Linked DNA regions of Drosophila melanogaster. The protein of the gene in region 1 interacts with the protein of each later gene in a pairwise test. Each region holds a gene or a part of one and is shown in the gene's direction. Other genes may lie near its edges.

The links.
Region 2: the proteins of tth (region 1) and Drep3 interact in a two-hybrid assay, tested with the Drosophila melanogaster proteins (one large-scale study listed by BioGRID).
Region 3: the proteins of tth (region 1) and CG9902 interact in a two-hybrid assay, tested with the Drosophila melanogaster proteins (one large-scale study listed by BioGRID).
Region 4: the proteins of tth (region 1) and CG4168 interact in a two-hybrid assay, tested with the Drosophila melanogaster proteins (one large-scale study listed by BioGRID).

Annotation. Positions count from the first base shown.
Region 1 is NC_004354.4:13,612,654-13,618,177, reverse strand, and holds tth (toothrin), read left to right. Parts: upstream 1-1,591; 5' UTR 1,592-2,197; coding exon 2,198-2,502; intron 2,503-2,758; coding exon 2,759-3,740; 3' UTR 3,741-4,985; downstream 4,986-5,524. Other genes in the region: Tango2 (transport and golgi organization 2), read right to left, coding at 1-76, 242-364, 603-744.
Region 2 is NT_033778.4:12,053,472-12,058,100, forward strand, and holds the start of Drep3 (DNA fragmentation factor-related protein 3), read left to right. Parts: upstream 1-1,617; 5' UTR 1,618-1,747; intron 1,748-2,497; exon of another isoform or gene 2,498-2,502; 5' UTR 2,503-2,549; coding exon 2,550-2,915; exon of another isoform or gene 2,916-3,076; intron 3,077-4,629.
Region 3 is NC_004354.4:16,541,591-16,549,481, reverse strand, and holds CG9902 (uncharacterized protein), read left to right. Parts: upstream 1-1,961; 5' UTR 1,962-2,047; coding exon 2,048-2,134; intron 2,135-2,201; coding exon 2,202-2,628; intron 2,629-2,684; coding exon 2,685-2,935; intron 2,936-3,002; coding exon 3,003-3,596; intron 3,597-3,657; coding exon 3,658-4,471; intron 4,472-4,558; coding exon 4,559-5,799; 3' UTR 5,800-7,358; downstream 7,359-7,891. Other genes in the region: Arp2 (Actin-related protein 2), read left to right, coding at 1-4, 70-240.
Region 4 is NT_033779.5:15,197,432-15,202,347, reverse strand, and holds the start of CG4168 (uncharacterized protein), read left to right. Parts: upstream 1-1,888; 5' UTR 1,889-2,274; intron 2,275-4,916. Other genes in the region: Sfp35C (seminal fluid protein 35C), read left to right, coding at 284-311, 365-526, 586-641.

The DNA of each region.
Region 1 (5,524 bases):
GTGGTGGTCTTGGGGCAAAGGTTAATGCCGGTGCTGTTGCTGTTGTGATTATGCGGTTGCAAAATGTTTTTGTGCGCTTCAAACAGAAAACAGAAACGAAGAAAGTTTGTTTTTGCTTTGCTTTTTCTTTGGTCGCGGTTGTGAAAGTTTTAGTTCGGGCCAAGTGTTAGGTGTATGGATGAGTGTGTGTGCGTGTGTGTGCGCGTCAATTTGGATTAGTAAGTAGCTCAAATGGGTTTACCAACTGCATCGCGTGGCTTGGGCTCGCCGGTCAGATTGAGCAGGGCGCCCACCTTAAAGAAGCCAGCGGAGTGGCCGATCGCCAGCCAGGTGCCGCCCTCGCGTCCCGGCTCCAGATCGATCCCTGAAATGGGGGAATACATAAATATTTACTCAAGTTGATCCCGCACTCATGGGTAAGATGGCTTGAAATCCAATTAGGTTGCTGGGAAACAGATCTTGTGAGAGGTGTTCATTCTAACAAACTGCTATCAAATCATCTTAGTGACTAAACTATAGGTAACATCTTGATGAATACAAGCTCTCAAGGATTATACTCCATCTAAGCATAGGCATTCAAGGGCATAAGCCCCACCACTTACCTCCGTAAACATGATCGGCATTCGCCCACTTGGCTGCCGATAGGGTGGCGCGGGCAAAGAACTCGTCCCGATTGGAGGCCAGGATGAGCTTGTAGCCACCCGGTTGCGGATTCGAGTCCGCACAAAAGAATATCACGCACATCGTCGGAATCCTATACTTATTTGGCTATTGTTGCGATTTGTAGTGCCTTGAGGTTGTGGGACAACTGCGAATGGGATCCGGAAAAGTGGGCTTTAATCTCGGTGGGGCGTCGGTATCAAAATGGCAGGTTGTTCGGCTCAGTCTTCTCTTTGTTACTTTGTGGCAGTGGAACTATAGCGCCGGTTTTATCACCAAATAGCCGTACGTACGTACAGCTGATATACAGTCTTATCCGTTGTTTGCGAGACCAGCTAATCTAAGTGGTAAATGTAAATGGTTTGGATTGGTGGGTGTTCTCTGTGAGCCGTGCCTCTATGTGATATATACATATCTACGGGGCAAAAAGCATTCCCGTTAACGCAAACAAAGCAGTATTTTCTGAAATTTCAATGACCGGGTTGCCTTGTTTTGATTTCTCTTTTAATTTTGTTTTTGTTTTGTTTTGGCGTTGCCAGCTGACAGGAGAATCGATAAGAAAATCGTTAACACTCTGCTGCCCTGTGCAATATTCTTTTAGCTATTTTATTAATTGCTAATTATTTATTTGTGCAGTCTATGACTTATCTTAATTTGTACTTTTAAATTTGAAGATTTTAGTTCCTCATCGTGCGCTGAAACAATGATTGACCAATATGATTGTGTAATTTATTTCCAAAGCCATATATAACGTATATATAAACATATTAGTTTTTTTTGTCGCCTGTGCCGATCCAGATAACAAACTACTATTTTGAAATTGGCGTAACAGGTAGGTAGGCATTATCGCCAGTTGCCCATCTCTATTGTATGACCGTGGGCCCGGCAATCGATTGGCTTACAACTTATCGATGTTTGAAAACTAACCAAAAACCCTGTAACATAGGCTTGTAATTAAAACTAGAAAATACCATTACATAGCTATGCACTGCAATGCATAAATTAACTAACAGACCTATACAGGCCCTTAAATTGGTAAGAAAACTGATCGCTAAAATTAAAGCGAAAGAGTGGATTTTTTAGGACAAAAATACCGGTCGGTCGAGAACATTTGGGGGGAAAATCATGTCGCCATCTGGTAACACTGGCATTCAGCAGAGCAGTGAAAACGACGTTAATATTTCTGATCAATTAAACAATTGGAAAATCCGGCCGCAGATCGCGATCTAAACGTATCGCCCTCGCCACGCCCACTGCCGCCCACGCCCCCTGGCGCGGGGTCACATCGATAGAGAGCTTTGCGTGTGTGTGTGTGTGCGTGCGTGTATGTGTCGGTCGAGAGGAGAGGTGGAAGACGAAGAAGAATAAAAAAAACAGGCAGCGAAAAGCGATAAGAAACGGAACACAACACACTGGAAAAAAATTGCGATAAGAAACGGGGCGGAGCGGAGCGGAAATTGCCAAGACTCTGGGATGGATTAGCGGCACAGCCGGACTCTGAGGTTAGCCAACAGTGGGATTAGGACCAGGAACAGCCATGTCCTCCGCCGTTAACATCCAGATCGTCTCTATGCCGAATCTGGCCAAGATCGAGAGCTTCCTGAAGGATGTCAGCTACCGGGAGACGATCGAGTACAGTGCCAACTTCAACACGCGCCTGTGCAGCGAACGGCGCCACCGGCTGCCCTTCCTCGATCCGCAGACAGGCGTCGCCCAGAACCACTCGCAGCTCTTCCTGGACAAGCGACAGCGGATGCCCGGCTTCCGGCAGGGCCAGATCTACACGTATCCGGCGGCCCGCTGGCGGAAGAGCCGTCGTCAGTACTTGAGCAAGATGTACAGGTGAGGAATCGTAACCAATCGGTGCGGGATTTGAGTGACTGGCACATGCACAAGGAAAAGTTAGGTATAACTCTGGCGAAGCAAATTAGAGCTTGGAAATCTAGGAGTCTGTTACCTATGGTAATCTTATTTAAAACGAGTTAGGTTAGAAGAATATCATCTGTGTATATGCCATTCAATCTCATCAAATCCTACATTTTTCGTTGGGTGAGCTCCATATTTATCCCTGCTAATAACGAACTTTCCACTTATACAGCCGCTTTCCCGAGCGTCCCTTCCAGGCGCTACGCAAGGAGCACGAAGCTCTGGTGGCCAGCGGCGTCAATCTGGGACTGAGCAGCCTGACCAGCGGTGTGGGCTCCATGCCCGGCAGCAATAGCCTGGCCAGCAGCTCCTCCCTAACGCTCAATATGCTTACGGGCGGCGGAGCCGCGCCGGCCGTACTTGGTTCCCTGCACAGTGACACTGCCCACGATTTTAATGGAGCCTTCAGCCTGGAGGAGTCCAGCTCGCTGGGTGCCGCCGGCGGTGATACATCCGACAGCAAGGACAGTCAACAGCAACAACATCAGCAGCACCAGCACCAGCAGCAGGCCGTCAAAGAGGAGCTTTTGCCCAAGGAGTGGTTCTACGATGACATGGATATGAACGATGTGGACTCGCTGGAGGAGCCCAAATCGCCGGCGGATGATGAGTACGATTATGATCCGCGCTATGGTAACAAAAAAAGGCGCAAGCGGCGACCAGGCAAGCGAGGTGGAGATTCCGGCGGCGGTGGTGGTGGAGGAGGCGCCGGCGGTGGCGGCAATTCCGGCGGTAGCTCCAGCTCGCGGAGACGCAGTGCAGCGGCCAGGTCGCGTATCACAACGACGGATGCGGCGCTGGACGCATCGCTGGAGGCCATTGAATCTGGCGAGAGTGTGCCAGGCAGCAATGGAGGACCAATCTCCAGCGGAGGCATCCTAAGCGGCAGCCTGGGAGCAGGCTTAGCGGGAGTTTCGGGATCCGGCGGCGGAGGAGGAGCATCGGGAGCTTCGGCCAACAGCCGCAGATCGCGGGGAGCGGGAACACGTGGCAGGCGACGAGCCAAGGGGCCAAATAGCGCCGTTGGAGCGTCTTGCGATCCGACAAGTCCCGGCATGGTCATCGAGCCACCATCCTTCGAGAGTGCCGCTGCTGCGGTGGGCGTGGTCGAGGACGCGAACGCCCATCTGCGCAACTATCGGAAGTATCTGTAACCGCTCTATCAGCAACTAACTGGACGTGTAATCAATCAAAGCCTTGTTTTTCGCAATGTTTTCTCGCCTATTGAATCGACCTACTTTTTCGCACATAATTTAAATATAGTTTTTAAGCCTTAGTTGATCACTGTTTGTTGCCCCCCTCCGACAAAAGGATAAAAGCCAAGCAAGAAATGAAAGAAAGGAAACAAATACATTGTGGACCAGGGACAGAAACAGGATTAGAATCAGGATAACGATCAGAACCGCGCACCAGGCCGTAGCCAATACAATTCCAATGTTTCGCCTCTCTTAACTTTACGTTCCCATAGCCAATTGATTGTTGTTTTTTAAACTAGCAATGGACTGGTGAACTTCTACTATAGGATAACTTGAGCGGAAACTTATGGATGTAGCAAATATTCTTCGAGCAATTTTGTAATGTAGGAAACCCTTTAGGCCATCAATTATTAACGTTGTATAAGTTAGACAATGAATTTAAAAAGAACCTTTTTCGTCATCGTTAGGCAATTCGTAATCAATTATTTTCGGGCATCATCTATGCCATAAGTGAAACAGCACAATTTGAACTATGTATAGTTTTGCAATACACGACTATATTTCACATCTGGTTTCCGAAGTTTTGCTTAGAGCAGTTCGCCAGACCATTGCATTATATTGTACATTATATATATGGGTGTACAGACATTATATACATATATATATATATACATACTTGCATGCATTGTATTTGCGACTCTACTTAAGGCAAGTCCACCTTTTGGACTGGCTCTCCACCTAATCGCAATCTCTCGGTTTCTGTTGCTGCATGTTCTTAATACTATTTCACCTAGCTCCCCACCCCTCCCCACATATTATATTCAATTTTTTTTATTTAACCAAAATTTTAGTTAAAAAAGAGACAATTCAGATTGTAATCTATTTAGGCAAGTGGTAGGGTATCTCTAGCATTAGAAGAAGCTAAAAGTAAAAACAATTTCGTAAAACCAAAATTTTTTCTCTAGGATCATAATTATTAAGCTGAGCTAAAAACGAAAACAAATTTTAACTAACTAAGAAGGGACAAAATTGAAATAAGATCAAAAAAGGAAAACATGTACATTTTGGAAGAAAAATCAAAGTCCACAAAATTTTAACGAATGAGAGGCAAAAAATCAGACAAAAATGAACCACAAGAGAATGAAAAAAAAAAACAAAAATGGAAATAGGTTTCTAAGATGTTTTAATATATTTTGTAATAACAATGCTCGAGTATTTTTCATGTATGTAGTTTTTGATCCAAAATTGAGCGATCAACAAAGGCAAAGGGGTTCTCAACGATCGGTTCCTCGAGAGGATTTGCCAATCATCGATCATAGGGCTCTATTGCTGAACGCTTTGTTTTGGGCACAACTACCTCCTCCGCTTGGCACCGGCAGTAGCCTCGTCTGTGGAGGATCTGGTGGTCCGCTTCCGTTTCTGGCTGCTAGGGGGCTTATCTTCGGCAACTTCTTCTTGGGATTCGGATGCCTTTGCCTGCTTCTTTTGGGCTTTCGGTTGTCTCTTCGTTTTGACCAACTCTTTGGATTGCTTCGCTTCCTTTGAATCGACTTGAGTTGGCTCTTCCTCGGATTTCTGTTCCTTTTTGGATTTACGCGAAGTTGAAGTTGAAGTTGGTGCCTTCGTTTTTGATAAAAACAATATTTAGTTAATTTTTTCTGGACTTATTGGGCCTTCCCTACCTCGTTTTCCTGTGCTTCCTCTGTGGACTCCGACTTCTTTGGCGATGCTAGAGCCTCGGA
Region 2 (4,629 bases), on another chromosome or scaffold:
ACATTTATTTTAATTTAATTAAAATGTTTGCCATTTTCTTTTATACATTTTTGGTTTGCCCCGCATCGAAATGCTATTTTTTTCCATTTAATTTCATTTAGACTGCTGACAGCAGGCGCAAATATTTGGCATTTACCCGTACCACTGCCTTATGTGTTTTTCGCCTGACGAGTTTTTGGCGAAAAGTGCCACATATCCAAGGACCAGGATCAGAGGCCATTTATCATCGCCACATGCGGCGGCATGACCTTTCCGACGACATGTGAGTTAATTAATCTAACTGGCCAGACGGCCAAGGTCGTGCATCGCAATTAAACATGGCAGCTGATGATGAAGGGAATTTACCTTCGCGACCAGACGCATAAATTTCAATTTGCACCTATGCATTTAAATTGATGGCGATGGAGGTCCTGCAGCAGGACCAGCATGCTGCATATGCGAAATGCGAATAGTTGTTCGCGCCGCGCTTCAATGCGCAATTAGCGGACCATGGCCCATAAATTATTTGACCCGCCGGCGGGGGAAAATGGGAAATGGAAAATGGCGGACGGAAATGAATGCCCAGCAGGGCGAATAAACAGATGAGCGTGCAAAATTCGCCCAGCAATCCGAATCCGCTTGGGCCTAAAGTATGCACTTCAGGTAGTTGGGACAAGGACCAGGCTCAAAATGCGTAAACGAGATAACAGGCCCACAGATATATTGTTATCCATCACGTGACTGCAGTTGGAATCACGTGCTCAGTCCATGTTCAATGCCGAACTTCCGTAAGCGGGCGCAATCAAATTAACCTTGGCTCACGCGGCGTATGCGCAATATTTCAGCCATTTAAGCCCAGTGCTGTGATAAATGCAGCTAAGTGGCTTTGTTTGCTCCCAATGCGAACAAATTCGATCGACGTACAGCGTCTCATGCATTTTAAATATTCCGCCAATGCAAATGCCAATAAATCTCGGCTTTTGTCTCGCCCTCAAAGGCAATGCACCTTTGTTGAAAACTTTTGCCCAGCTCTGGGATGCTTTAATTATGCAGCCAGCAGCAGTCTCATTATGCCGAAGTGACATTTTTCAGCTGGACGCCAGAGTTTTTCGCCGAAATTGCAAACTTTATTTTTATTGCATTTTTAAACTTTGCCCTTAAGCGCCTGAAAGTTCAGGCTAAAATATTTATATTTGCCATCACGCCCCGCAAATACACTGTGCTGTTTGTATTCGTTTTTATCTTCTTGTGGTCCCGGCTAAGTAGAACTATTTGCAGCTGCTCCAGTAAACTTTTCCCACCTTCCAGGTCATAGAATCCCGATCCCAGGCCAGAGTTCTTTTGTGCCAACTTTACTTTATCCGGCATAGGGTCTATGCTTCTGGCCCGGCACGCCCAGCGTGTCCTGGCTAACAGGAGCCTTAACAGAGCGCTCGCTCTCTCTCTCTCTCTCTCTCTTTGCCTCTCTTTGCGAGTGTCCTGCTCTCACGGCCAAAGCTCCGCGAAGGTTAGACTTTGCTGTGTGTTTGCAGGACCTGCTGACTTTGCGCCGTGTGTGTTTGCGCTGGCCGAGGCTGTCGGCAAACTCGACGAGTCCTGCCACGTTTAAATACAGCACGCACAGACGTCTGGCAATTTATTCCAAGTTCGGCCGGCTTTTGTTGCACTTGGCTGCTGTGAGTAGTCGGCTCGCGATCTCAGCCAGAATCGCGTATTGTAATTGTTGCCGGAAGATGTGAAGAATTCGGTTTTTAACTTAAAGTGCACGGTAATGAGAAACAAAATGTTGCTTCTAGAGTTCAGAGTATATAAACCAACTATCTTTTTGTCTAAAAGAGGCTTGTGGAAATTATGGAAAATAATTAGTTTAGCTTTCATGATAAAAAACAACAAGCAAGCACATGCAAACTATATTCTTTTAGACTTATAATTGCCTCTATAAATTTAAATGAAGTTTTACCAAACAAAAAAGTTGGCCAATTATATTCGTTTGAAAAACTCTAAACACGTTTCTGCATCGTCATATATGGAGCTTTACTATCAAATACAGGACACCAAAATTGAAATAGTGCAAATTACATTACTATATAAAATTAAAAAAATAATAATATTTTGTAGATATTTTTTTTAAGTCGTTGGTAAAAATGTACAGTATTTAAAGAGCCGATGGTGAAATTGTAATGCAATAACATTCCATGGTCTCCTTCTTTTTTTTTTGGTCTCTATAAACTTCGTTTTCTATGTGGCTTTAAGGTCAAGCAATTTCAGCAATTGCAAAACTTTTTTAAATCAAAGCCAAAACAAAGGCCAAACAACGATTTCGTTATAAATTTTCCGGTCGAAGCAAACAACGTACACGCGTATATGAAATAACAATAACACAAAGTCTGGCAGTTTTAGTATGCTTGGCTCAGCTTTGAAAGCATCCCCGAATGCCATACAGCATATTTCAATTATCGTCTAAATTTGTTTTGCTCGTCATAAATCTCTTTCTCTTTCGACCATGTTTTTCAACCAGTGCAGCAAGGAGTCCAGACAAGGCGAACAAACTCTCGAGACGAGGTAAATACATGACAGCAATGAATGCGGATGAGACAAAGCTGGCTGGAATGCCTCAAGGAGCTGAGGAGGAGCAGGAACCGGAGAGGGAGCAGAAGAAGGAGAGCGATGGAGCAGCAGCTGCAGCAGGAGTACAGTGTGATCCTGATAGCAGAATAGTGGCTCCGCCGCCCAGGCAGCGGACTCTGACAAGGACGGCCGAACTGGACGCGGACTGCGAGGACATCGAGTTAGATGCCGACGATGGTTTGGACGATGCGGCGGATAGCATCACCTTGGAGTTGGCCCTATCGCCGCACAGCAGCGCCACGCCCACGCCCTCGCCCACCACCGCCGACGAGGATTTCGCCCAGCTGGACAACAGCAAGCCCTTCAAGGTGGGTATTCCACTCGCTACTCGCACATCCTTCATGTCCTTTGTGGCATTTAGCCACGCTACCTGGCGCCCCGTCATCTGGGCCAGCATTTCGTTAAGTGATTACTGCGGTGCTATTGTTACGCTTGATGGGTATATAGTAAAAAAAAAATAGAAAAAATTAAACTGAAAATGGAGGAAAAAGTTTGACGGTCAGGACGAACAAAGTGAAGGGTTCCCCGACGGAACGGCCACTTCAAAGCCTTCGGCGTTGAGTGGCATCATCGACATTGGCACTGCTGCTGAAGTGTTGCTACCGGTGCTTTATTCGCCCTTTAAGCATTCGTCCAACTTTTCAATTCGCTGCAAGAGTTGGTGCGGGAAAAAATCCGGGAAAACAGAGCTGTTTCCTTTTGCCCTACCAGCAGCCCACTCCGCACTGCCTTCACCATGGCAAACTCCATTTGATTGTGAGGATTGCGTGGCCCTGCCCAATTTGGAGCACAGAAAGAAATGATTAGGGTCACAAATAGTCGCTGTCAATTCTGCAAAGTTTACGAAACAATTTACGCATCCGTTTACCTATTTACGAAACTTTTAACTCTAAAAACTGTGTGTGAAAGATACAACACATCGACACTTGCAAGAATAAAACGATTCTGTTTAGTATTGATATGATTTAACTTAATTGAACTTGAATGTCCTTATTTTGATGATCCTATATCCAATTACCCACTTATAGTAAGCCATGCTCAGTAAATCACTAACACTATCAATACAATATAGTATAGACCATATTTCACCCTCTACTCAGATTAGCTTCTTGCAAATTTTTTGCCTGTGTGGCTGGTCAACAATGAAAATTTAATTAAAATGTTCAAACTGTTCAGTTGCATAGGGTAGTGGGATCAGGATGCGGGCGCCCAATTGTCTCGTATATCATTGTGGGCCAGCCAGCTGGCCAATCATCCAGCCATTCCGCCAATCGCCTCCAGTGCCACGCCCACATCTAAGCCGCCTTGTGGCGTCTGTGTGGGCGGCGATAACTATAAGTAGGTGTCTTGGCCACGCCAGCTGAACACCCTAATCGATGTATTGTGTGTTAACGGCATCAGAGCGATGGCCATAACAATATAAACTGGCCAAAAGATCGGCGTCTACGAGATATCAAGTGGCTGTAAATTTGCCAGGCGAAAGCAATTAATTGACGGCTTGACGTGGCCGAAACGCGATGTCATTTGTCAGTGGCAACCGACCGGTGATGATGATGATGATGGGTGAGCGTGGGCCACGTGACGTATGCGTAATTCATGCGCATTCCAGCTAATTAATAAGCCTCCATCTTGTCTGCCATCTGACACGGGCATCTTCTTTATCGAGCTCTCGGGGAAATTGCCAAGGTTCTGATTAAAAACACTGGATGATATAATCCTGGAGATATAATCCCTTTGACTAATTCCAGAAACAACTAAATGAGAGTGAAAATTAAGGAAAGGGTTGGTAGTCAGAGGCCAACACATGAATGCGTGAGGTAGGGTTAATAATATCCTGTGTTCACGTATTGGCCCTTAGGTTCTTCTCGGTATGAAAATAATTTGCATCTCTTCTACTTAATATCAGATAGTTCAATTAATTCGATGGTTACCATGACTGATTTGCAGTTTGGTTTACTCACAAGGTTAAATTGGTTTAGATCTACCGCTGAACTGAAAACTCATAGCAGTGCTGCCACACAG
Region 3 (7,891 bases), 2.9 Mb from region 1:
GGCGGTAAGTTGTCAAGTAAAGCTAATCAATGCACATCGTGTTTAACAAATTGAACGATTACATTGCAGAAATTCAAAATACGCATTGAGGATCCACCGCGACGCAAGGATATGGTCTTTATCGGCGGAGCTGTTCTGGCGGAGGTGACAAAGGATCGCGACGGCTTCTGGATGTCCAAGCAGGAGTATCAGGAACAGGGTCTCAAAGTATTGCAAAAGCTGCAAAAGATCAGTCACTAGAGGCGGATGGATGCGAAATCAGTGTGTGTGTGTGTGCGGACCGCAAGAAATAGGATAAAAAAGTGATAGATTTCTTTTCTCTATTTTCTATAGGTTTAAACCTTTCAGATTTACGTGATATATCCGTCTATATATGTTTTTTTTTTTGTGTGTGCCTGTGCGAGTGGGCGTGTCTGTTGAGCAGGATTGGTCCACTTGCCCTTAGATTATCTATAATCGCAGACATGTCGTCACTGGTCGTTATCCCCGTACAATATAATGTAATATTTCTTTGAGCGCGAAAACTTTAATTCGATAGTCGCCTAAATTGTGTAACCCTGCATTAGTGTGTTTAATTGTTTATAATTACGTCTAAAATTCAAACCCAAAAGCCCTTTTCTTTAATGAATACGCATATATAACTATATATATATACATATATAAATTCAAAGCACCTCGAGTGCGGCGATATTTTTGTAAACGCAAAATGTTTCATTTCCAGCGAGTATTTCACATTAAGTATTAACTAGGCCAAGTCTGCTAGTAGCAGCTACTAAAATCGTGTGTGTGTTAAGACAGAGACAGAGACAGAGGAAATATAACGAGGAAGTTGCATAGCACAGAAGGAGAAAGCGCGAGTTCGGTCGTTAACTAAATACACTGATTGATTCGATCCCGTCTCGCCTCCCGACACTCGACCTTAAAGTAAGCATTTCTGGATTGTCTCCAACTAGATAAAGATGAAGTTACCTACCCATAAAGATACAGATAATCGAAGTCACAAGATTACGCATTTACGTTGCCCCATAATCGAAAGTACCATCAGTCGAAGTGTTAAATTTGATTTAATTTCCTTACCTGCCTTTTCTAGTTAGTTGCAATTTGATGATTGTTGGGGTCGCAACTATCGGCATATGATGAATAGTATATACATATACATATGTGTGATCCATATACATATATCCGTATATGTAAAATGAATGTGGAATGCCAATTATGTAAGTGAATGCAATAAACGTAATTATGTATGATGTGTACTGTATACTGTAGTCTAAAACTAAATCGCATACGACTTTTTTATGGTTTTTTTTTTGCCAAATTAAAAACAAAACAAAAATGACAACAAGAGAGCATGCTATAGTCGAATTCCCCGACTATCAGATACCCGAAAAGAGTTGTTTGGCAAATGGATAGAAATTTAAGAGACTAATAAAAATATGAAAAAATTCAAAACTTTTTTTTAAAAGTGAGGGCATGCCCGTTTTGGGCGGTTTGTGGGCGCGGCAACATGGGTCAACAAACAGTTCTTGAGATCTCGACTTTCATGCGGACGGACACGTCCAGATTGACTCGGCTATTGGTCCTGATCAAGAATATATATACTTTTATATGGTCGGAAACGCTATTGATCGTGATCAAGAATATATATACTTTTATGTGGTCGGAAACGCTTCCTTCTACTTGTTACATATATATGTAATTACCAACGAATCTCGTATACCCTTCTGGTCTATAGTAAGTGTTTTGTATTCTTGTTTCTTTCAAATAAATTTTTAAATTACTTTTGCCTGCATAATAAAATTTCAGTTGGCAACAATGGCCTTAGCGAATGCACCTTCCACATTTAGCAAATACGCCTAGCCTTACAGTTTAGCGAGTATATGAACCTCGTGTAGACAGCGTTGCCCCTTTCGATTAACATCGATTTACAGTAATCGGGTTCAGCTGTTGTTCGTTGCAACTTTCAAGCTAAATTAAAATAAATCGAAACCGGCAAAAAAAAGGAAATCGACTTGACATAGCATTGCCATGAATTAAGTGCTGCAAAATGGATATAATATTTTCTCAGGATGTGCACGATGAACAAAAGTTTCTGGATTGTGCGAGGAAACTAGAGTACGACGAGTTTTCGGCGGTAAGGACTTGCTTTGTACATAAATCCTTATGCACACGTTTTCATTGCTTAAATCTTGGTTTTATAGAAAATGTTTGTATTCTGCAATAAGCACAGCGCTTTGGATGTGTTTGAGCTAATGGGCGATGACCGGTTGTCGCAGTTACTCTACGGATGGGAGGTGTGCCACCTGCCTACCAGGGATTCCGAGTCGCTAAAGGACCCAGCGCTGCGTCACATGGTCAGGGTTTTGGTCTACCACTCGCTGCTGATGTGGTTTAGCCAAGAGTGGAAGACCTGCTCCGAAGGCCTCAAGCAGCTTTTGCTCTACACCCTCACCAAAGCAATGCCGGCATTCCATCAGATTGGTGAACTGGCCAATATCAACTGGTCGTACGTTCTGCAGTTCCAGACGAAGCCCTGGAGCCTGCCCTACCTGCATCAGCTATTTCTTAACCTGGAGCTGAATAAACAACACGGCATCGAACACAAAGTTCAAGCGGCATCAGGAGAAGGTAAGCCATTACTAATTTTCGTCAAGGATTCATCTAATCATTGCCTTATTTCTTAGATGTTGCTTTCCTCATGCAGGAAGGGGTATCTCTGGCCCTGCTGCGACTAATCCAGCTCTTTAACGCCGGCAACTTTGAGGCTGTAAAACAGCTGGCGCTTCGGATGCTAGCTGCTTGGCTGAAAATCCACGAAAATGCACCATTTGTGTCCTTTAAAGGGGATGAAAACACAATTACACTAATCGGTCATGTATGCCTCTTGGCCGCTTTTGTTAGGGATGATAATCAAGGCTTTGTGATTGATAATTTGGTAAGGAAAACATTCATCATGTAACTAACATAACAAAACTAAATGTCGTCATAAAACCACCTCGTAGATGTACAACATAGGGTTCTATGTCCAGATCATGGAGGAATTTTCGAGCTCACATGATATTAACTTTACGCCAGCTCGGCTTATTGCCCGCGTTTGCGTCCGTCTTCGACTCGGAAAGAATGCGTTTTTTGAGAAAATTGCATTTAGGAAATTCAATCTATGTATGGTCACTTCATTTGCCGTCATACTAGATGCCTACTCCAGCTATGTGCTGGGAAATTTATTGATGGATCTTCAGTCGCTTAACGAGCACGATTTCCTGGAGCACCTGCCACAGTTCAAAAAGCTAATGGATCGCTATGTAGAGGAGCGCGAGAGCAGCGAGCGCTTTCTTCTAAACGAGCTCAAGAAGATGGAACAACAGCGAAACAGCTGCATTGAACCGCATCTAGTAAACCTAATTCTCAACTACAAGCAGCAGATATGCAAGGGAAATCGAGCCAGCAACATAAGCAACTACAAGAACAGTGATGACGACGAAAAGATTCAGCCTGAGGTGGGCGAAGAACAAGATAGACAAGTAGATCCGGTTTTTCAAAATGTACCAAACAATGAGGAAGTTTTGAGCTTTGTGTACAAATTGCTGGCAGAGCGGGTAAGTGATGAGAACTAACAAAAGCGAAAACTTTACTAAGCACCGCGCTTTTTTAATTTAGAATTTTTCAGGCTGGAGATTTGCTAAGATTGCTCTGCTGCTGAAAATTATTGGGCAACAAATAAATGCATTAGAAATGTGGAGATATCATCCCGGGTTAACCGTTGATTTTATGCTCGATTTGGAGCAAAAGATGTCTGCAAACTATGCTGACCTAGCCAAATTGTTCTCTGACCATGGATTTATGGAGGCAGAATTCTGGCTGACTGCTTTCTACCTCCACCCCACATCATCAAATTATAACGAAGTAAAGCGCTGTTCGTGGATCATGAAAAATCGACAGGAGGAGGGCGGGCTCCCTGCTCCAGCGATTGGCAACGTCAAGTACGAACTGCTGAGCTCCACCATCGATGTGCACCAGATTATGACCATAACAAACCATGAAGATCCAGTGTCCGACTACGATCCAATAAACGAGTCGCTGAAGGCGTTGCGTCTACCCAGCAACATGACCAAGGATCTTCTGACCGTGGTCTTCCAACCGCGACATAAACAATACTCATGGGCTCTCGATTGGCAAACGCTAGACGAGCGTTGCAGTGCCCTACTCAAAAGCCAGGACCTGAAGAGAAAATTTGTGTCTCTTAACATGGCCGAATCATGCGACGACTTGAAGTATCTCCAGATCGACTATGCCAAGTACAGGGATCGACCACAGTTGGACTATGGCACCATAGAAGAGGGCTACGAAAATGAGACTAATCTCTCGAATGCAGCTGGAAAGGCTGAATCAACACCAGCAGTGCATGATAAAGCAGAGAAAGCCAAGGAGCTGAAAATGCGGCGACACGCAAAACGCAAATGTTGGTATGAAGGTTAGCAACGAAATCTTTTTTCTTTGAGCAACTTTCATATAAGATTAGATTCAGTCAAACTAATGAATTGAATTTTAAATCCCACAGTTTCGGAAGACGAGGAAGAGGCTGCCTCAAGTGATTCGGAGCCCAGCTACACAGGAAATGGCCGCCGAACACAGATTAGAGCCGCAGCCATTGCATCCAAAGCTAATGGTCGCCGGACTGGGATTAGAGCCGCAGCCATTGCAGCCAATATCAAATTGTCTGAAATGTCCTTTCCAGAGACATCGAATAGGCGCTTTTCTACACAGCCCGTCGTCAAGGAACAGCCAAAAATCGCCGTCCAGCCTAAAAAACAAAAAACAGTATTGTTTTCGAAAGAAGAGGATGAGGTTTCCTCAAGTGATTCGGAGCCCTGTTACACAGGAAATGGCCGCCGGACTCAGATGAGAGCCGCAGCCATTGCAGCCAAGGCCAAATTGTCTGAAATCTCCTCTCCAGAGACATCGAATAAGCACTTTTCTACACGGTCCATCGTCAACGAGCAGCCAAGAATCGCAGTCCAGTCTCGAAAACAAAAAGCAGTAATGTTTTCGAAAGACGGGGATGAGACTTCCTCAAGCGATTCGGAGCACTGCTACACCAGAAATGGCCACCTGAATCGGATTAGAGCCGCAGCCATTGCAGCCAAAGCCAATTTGCCTGAATTGGATCGAAAAGTGAGCGGTGGGCGACGATCGATCTTTCCAGAGGCATCGGGTAATCACTTTGTTACACAGCCCGTCGTCGCGGAGCAGCCAAAAATCGCAGTTCAGCCGCAAAATCAACAAAAGCGTACAATTGCCGAGCTGATGAAGTCACGACCCATGTTTACCAACGAAACGAAAGGATTTAAGCCGATCGCCGACATATGGAGTTTCAGCAAGGAAGAGCTAGAGAATGTGGTTAGCGGGCCCAACGACATGATAGAGTGCAGCTCGATTATAGCCAAAATGAAGTTATTGAAGGACCTCAAAATGGCGAAATCTGCAAAAGCAGCCGGACAGCCATGTTCACAGCTCGTTCGCACAGGATCAGAAACTGAAAGCGTGAATTCCGAAACTTCCACGATGGCTACACACGAATTTAACGAGAAGGGGACCACTGTAGGTTCCCCCGGTGAAGGTAAAGAGCAAAAAACACCTTCGCCGACCGCAAACTCCGAATTAAGCACTGAAACAGAAGTGTTGAAGCCCACCGATGAGACTGAAGCGCATATGATCCATGACGCCCTAAAAACTACAAACGTGCCACAGAAGACTCTGGACTTACAGTTCTTGTCCAAGAAGCACATAAGAACTGGATAACAGACCCAGGAGTCCCCAGGAGATGTCATAGAAACTAGTGATCTCAAACAGGTCCCCCTAAATAGCCTGTTCAAAGTAGAGGGACTGGATGCAAGACAGGCGACAGGAAAGCCAAAAAAAAAGGAACAAACGGAACAGGATCTGCCAAATACTAGAAAACACAAAGATAAGCTTCACATGCAACGCCATTTTTTTTTTTTTTGTTATTTCTTTACTTACATATATACCATAACTACGTAACAATTTATTATACAGCCTCGATGTTAGTAGAGATGTGAAACCGGATAAGGTACTGCCGCAAAGCATTGCTTCGCATTAGGGGCACCAAAGATTTGGAACCTCACGATCTTGGTGCTTTCCGGAAAAGCAAACTGTAGAGCCATGTGAGACTCCGGACATGAACCCGAACTTTCTGGATCTCGATGTCGATTCGAGGACAAGCACCCGATTGCTGAAGTAGCTACCTACGGCGTGCAGCAAGTAACCTGCTACCTAAAAACCAAGTGACCGTGGAGATCGCGTCCAGCGTCGACAATTCTTTCCGGAATCCGTACTGGTTTGTAGAAAGTCCCCATGCAGCCGATATTGCTGTGTTGAGCCTCGCCGCGATCACCTTCTCGAAGGCAGATGGGTCTTTACGAGAAGGGTTCGGCAGGGTGCTTGCCTTGGTTGCCTTCTATGGGATCCGATCGGGTCCTGATTTCTTTCTGGTTTTGAGGCTTCTCGCAGCCGCCAGAATCTTGGGCTACGTGACCGGCCGCAAGTGGTCAGCTTGACACGTCTCCGCTTATCTGCCAAGTGGTAATGGTCTCCTCCAACTTCGCTGCCATTTTATCCGCTGCTGCGTTCGCCCAGTCTGCCTCGTCGATTGTCAGCTAGTGAAGAGAGCCGTCTAACTCCTTCAGTCTCATGGTGTCCTGTCGGTAGGCCGTATGAGGCTGCTTCCTGGCTGTCGAGTGCTCTTGTGCCGATTTCGACCTGGATCTCAACCTCTGATCACCTCTACCTTCCCGCATATGGCTGCTATGCTTGTTCGGTCTAAAACCCACTTGTTACTGGCCTTAGCCTTGTACGGCTCGCAGAGGAGAGCCACCTCTGTCTTTAGATCGCGATCGGTCTAGGTAAGCCACCCAGCATCCAAAGATTCAAATTATGTTTATGGCGAGCACCTCGACATCCGGAGGGGCATTGTTTGCTACCTTTATGCTTCGTGCTCTTCTTGCCTTCAACTTGCCCCCTTATCCATGCAGTTCCGTGTTAGAAGCAGAAACTTTCTTGATCATTAAAAGGACCATAAACACAACAAACATATTAAAAGAGTTTAAAAAGCCCAACGCAAAGTATCGAAGTGCAATTAAAGAAGCTATCCAAAAATGAAAACTGTGATATCCTAAATTCTCCAACATTCCTCTAGATTATAAAGTTAGCTTAGTCTTTCCTAAATTAAAGTCACAAAAACTGCTACAAGACTACAACTTGACTAACAAGAAGATTGCTCTCTCTCCAAAGGGCCACCTCTCTATAATATCATTGAACTTTTCCCGAGCCTTTGACAAAATAGGTATCCGCTTCCTTATACACCAATTAGGTCTCCTTAATTAACCTTTCCTCACCCTTTTGAACAATATAAATCAATGTTGCACTTTCTCAGGTGCGGCTAACTTTCAATAGACAAGTGCAAATAAATACAAATGCAAACCAAGACAAGAGAGAGTGCTTTAGTCGAGTTCCCGACTATCAGATACCTGTTACTCAGCTAGTGGAAATGCGAAAAAGAAATTTCATCATTTTTCTGTGATATGAATAGATTTTAGGTAATTGGGTAATATTAATAGGTGAGTTTTTTCAAAAGTGTGGCCGCTTCAGTTTTGGGCGTTAAAGTGTGTCGTATCAAATCGTTAAAAAATTTACAAGACTAATAAAAATATACAAAAATAACAAAGCATTTTTCAAAACTGTGGCCGTGACAGATGTGGGCGTGGCAACATGGGTCTGGAAGATGCATGCTTAATCTTCAACATTCTTGCTTTTATAGCTCCCAAGATCGAGACGTTCATGCGGCCAGATTGATTCGGCTATTGATCCTGATCAA
Region 4 (4,916 bases), on another chromosome or scaffold:
ATTATTTTACATATTTTACCTTAATGAGTTTAGTTAACCCGAAAATTCTCAAGCTGAATGAATGAATTTAGTGGACTACCGGTTAGCTATTTCTTCTGACTAAAATAAGTTTAGAGTCAATCGCACATTCATTTTTAACATGTACTAAACGTATTATACCATCTCGTACAAAATTTAATTGGATTGTAATGCTTTTTTAACGCATTTAACCTTAACCAATATAACCAATAAAATGCAATGTACTTGAGACTGTTTAAGTCAGTTATAATCGGCTACTATCATTATGAAATTGTTTTTCTTAGTTATTCTGGGTAAGCTAAAGATTTTCTAAATATTTTGATCATTCTTATTGTTAATCAAACAGCCTGTATGCTAATCGGAATTGCATGGGGAGAAAACTGCAATAAGCCGTGCGGAAAATGCATCTTGCCCACCTGCAATTATGATGGCAAATGTTACTTTGAGGGAACTAGCGCTTGTGCTCTGGAAAATGAAAAGTGCCGACGAAAGAAGAATAATCTTGACCGTGAGCTTTATGTTTGAAATGTTTTTTACCCGATTTTAACTTCTTTTAAATGTATTTAGAATTCGTAAAAACCGTGTCTGGGTTCTGTGAGATGGGCGTTAAAATGTGTAAATAGCCAAATAAAATGTTTTCAATTGAATTATATAAATTAAATATATTTCTTTTAAGAAATAAATAGTTCAAAAATAGTTCAATTGCTGTTTGTCCACTATTTTGATGTTTATTTCATTTGGGAGTTTTAAAAAGGGTATATGATATGATTTTTAACCATAACTTAGTTTCGCCTTAATGAAATAATCTACTGCTAGTGCTACAAGTCCAATTGCTCCGTAGTTTGACCGATGAAAACCTCAAGAAGACAAATATGAGGAACATTTTACTTTGCCACTCAAGCCCCAGAAAAGCAAACCCAAACGAAACGAAACGAAGCGAACCAAACCGAGCCACCCAACTATGAAAAATTTAAACTTTGCATCCAAGCCATTTATTCATCCTGCTTGGCATCTGCCATCATATCTTAGCATGCGGTTCTGGCTTCGTCCGGAGTTCTCTGCCCCCATTTTGCATCTTAAAGCCTCCATCTTTATATCTTTAACCATCTCTATGCTCTTCGGTTCTTGGGCAGTTTGGGGTGCACCTTAAAAATTAATTGAAACATCACTACCGGCTAATATTGTAGATTAAAAACAGCAAAAGGAGCTGTGCTGGGTAAGAGGACCGAAATGGGCCGCACCTAGATGAGGCATATAAAACTTTTGGGGTTAACTGAGTGCTCTAAAAACGGTCAGAAACTTGCAAATTGCCAGTATGCTTGGCCATTTATCAGTCTTAGTTGTGGGTTAGTTGGAAAGAATGTTCCACAATAAATTCGAACAACAAATTTGGCTTCTTCTGGAGTTTATTAGCTGGCCGCCGGAATTTTGCGGTCAAAGGGCGACCTGAACTTGAATCTGGCCGGTCGGTCGCCCATCTCCCGCACCTCACCCCCACCATCCACCTATTGTACATCCATCTTCGTCTTTGCCCCCATCAAGTCACTGTCCAGTTTAGAATTTCTTTGAATACTCCGCCTGATGACAGAGCATTGCCAGATAGCATACTAATTCCGGCTCAGTCACTGCGCATGCCCAGATGCTCCGGTAATCGTGGGTCTTCGGGCTTTGGGGCTCTCGCACCAGCGGCATGGGTCGTGTCAACTGACTTCGGGGGCTTCGGTTTTTGGGTCTGTTGCGCCTAGGACAACAATTTCCGTGTTGCATGCCTCGCCTTCGGGTGATCTAAAAACGAAGCGAGTGTCGAGGTCGCCAACGTGCCATAAAATGCGCATAATGTGGCACGGATGTGCCAGTCCACGTTGGTAATTTGGCGCGTGAGCATCGCCGATTATCATTTTTGCCACAAGTGGCAGCCCGTATAGTGATGTTGCTGGTGCAACGGCAACATTTCGTACCTCTAGCCGGCTAGATAAAATCGCGAAATGGTGACCACAAATAGATAGGCTTTGATAGCCGCGAAGCATTAACCAGAGATCGTATCGGTCGAGGGAGATCCGGCAGTGCTTATGATACCAAAAGTAATCAAGCGGTGATTGCAAAGTGAAGTGATCAGTAATCAAAACTCAAGTGGCACGAAAGCAGAAAGAGCAAACGAAGGAGAGAAAAGTAGCCTAGGCACATGCAACAACTGGATACGGATACGCTTTTCAAGCCCTGAACAGCCGCCGACCTACGAACCCACCCACAAGTCAAGTACGTAACAGATTGATGAGCAAGTCGCCGTCGCTGTCTCAAAGAACCACCCACTCACTTGGCCCCCCCACATCATCATCCTCATCCACCTCCTCCTCCTCCAACTCCCAGCCACTCACTCGACCAGGCACTTGACTAAAAGTTCAATTTCCTGCAAGATGCTTTAATTGAAGCGCACAGTAAACAAGAAACAGAAGCGGAGAAACAGAAAACAGAGTGGGCAAGGGTCACTCGTCGCCTTGGGTGCCTTCGCTCTGGTCAGTCATTAGTCATTTGCTCATTTCCGCAAACGCAGCCCGGATGTGCAGCACTTGTCAGTCAATAAACAACCTCGACGGGGGGTGGATGATGGGTGGTGGACGGATGATGGGTGGCGATCCACCCACTCTCCCAATTAAATGTGGCAAACGTATCAGCGTCAATCACCGATTCTGATGGCCAGGCCAGTGCATCCTGCCGCTTCACTGGCGTTTCCACAGATCGGCTGAGGCATCGGGAAAATGTCTCGGGCTATTTACATTGCCGTCCAAGGGATTGGATGCAATTTCGATTGGTTCATGGATCAGGTTGGACTTGCTTAAGGTTTTAATTTAACAAGCAAATGTTGGGTACCATACACTTGCAATGATAGTTTGTTTTATTGAGAGCTATTGATAAACTAACAGCTGTTTGACAAACAACTAAAATAACAGCTGAGAGTTAGTCGAAATGTCTGTAGATTTGGCAAATAAAATATATAAACACATGTGTGGTTTTTAACAATTTTAGATCAATTTTAGTTTGGTTGCAAATTTGGTTCCCAAAAATTATCGCCATTTATATGTAGCAAACAATAGGAAACTACGTATATACAAATGAAATATAAATGTTCATACAAAGATTTTTTTCGAAGGAAGGATTAAAAGACAAAGTATAAGTGTTTTAAACTTTTCTCAACCACTACATTTTTTGGATCTGTGTCTTTGGTCTTTAAGATGATGGAAAGAAAAAGTGGAACGCGCAGAAAAATCTGGAGGTGTAGTGTTGCAGTGGCAGTGGCAGAGTGGGTGAGTGGGCGTCGGTGGGTGGCAGGGGGAGTGGCGACTGCATATGTGTCACACATTGAGTTTCTTGGACAACAATAACCAAGACGGACAGGAGCAGGGTGCATCGCAAAAACGGTGCATAGGTGCTAAAAAAAAAGAAACAACGAGGAGCAACAATGGAACGGAGGTGGGGAAATATGGGGAATGTTGGGGGGAGTACGCAAGCTAACCCAGTTTTTTTTCGACGCTGGTTCTTCACAGCTCAGTTTTGTTTTGGGCCTCCTCTTTTTTTTTATTTTGTCTACTGCTGCTTGGTACATTTCTTTTTATGGCTTTTACGAACTGGCCGCAAAACGACGACGACGAATAACCAACTTCACTGACAGCAGAAGAAACGAAAATATTTCGACCAAAAACTGCCAGACTTGTCCAAAGCCACCCACCACCCACCACCCACCAACCCATCCCACTGGATGAAACCTGTTTTGTAATTGTTGTGTTTTTATTCCGAGTATGCGTGTTGATGCGGATTTCTTTGGCTTTCCCAGCGCCTTCTGGGCTCTAGCTTCTTGCCTGGGCCATTGTCACGTAAATCTGTGACAGAAATTAGCCTCGTTGACAAAAATATGCCTGCTTACACATTATTTGTACAAACAAATAGACGGGCAACAGTTAATGGGCGTGGAGAGTGTCGTCCTCGTGGTGCCTCTGGGTTCCATGGGCACCGTTCCATGGGGTTCTTGGGTTCTTCTGACGGGGGTGTTGCAGATACATGGGTCTGGAGAAATTTGCATGGGAACTGCGCCAGTTGACGCTGTTATTTCTTGGCCTCTTTTGGGCGAATTCCTCAGCTAGTTTTGTGGCTGTCGTCCTGTCGGCTTTTCTTCTTCGCCTTGTTTTATTGATCTGTTTATGCTTTAGGACCTCTGGCCCTACACTTCCCCCCCATCACAGCAATCTCTGTCAAACCCTCATCATGGATAAACAAACAAAAAAAGTTTTATTTGTGGACTACTGAAAATGCAAAATAAAAAAAAAGAAAACAAAAAGCAAGGGATGCGGGGACCGCAAATGTGCTTTTTCGGGGCAAAGTTGTGCCTAGGCTAATGACCAGACAGGCGTGAAGGCAATCATAAACTGCGTACATTTCATCCTCCCACACTTCGCACTCGAAGTTAATTTTCCTTGACCAGAGTCTAGCCAGGTTGGAAAGTTTACTCTAGCTCTTAATCAACTCATTATAATGAACAGAGAAATAAAATATCCATAACATGCCGTCGATTAAATTATTTGGTTGCCTTACGGCACTTTTGCTGATTGACTTTATGGAGTTTTGGTCTGATTTTTTCCAATAAAATGTAATGAGATTAATAAATCAAATTGTTGCACATAAACGATTAATGCTATAAAAATGTATGCATGTATTTAATTATACCGCTTACTTTTAGAGTTAAGGGTATACAACATTCGTTGAAAAGTTTGTATCAGTTAGAAGGATGAGTTTTCGACCCTATATTTTTTGAACATTGATATTAAGAATGCAGATTCTAGAAACGGCGAGATTGTGCATCTTACCCACTCTAACGCTGAGTACAGGGTATCAGATAGCCGAGGAAA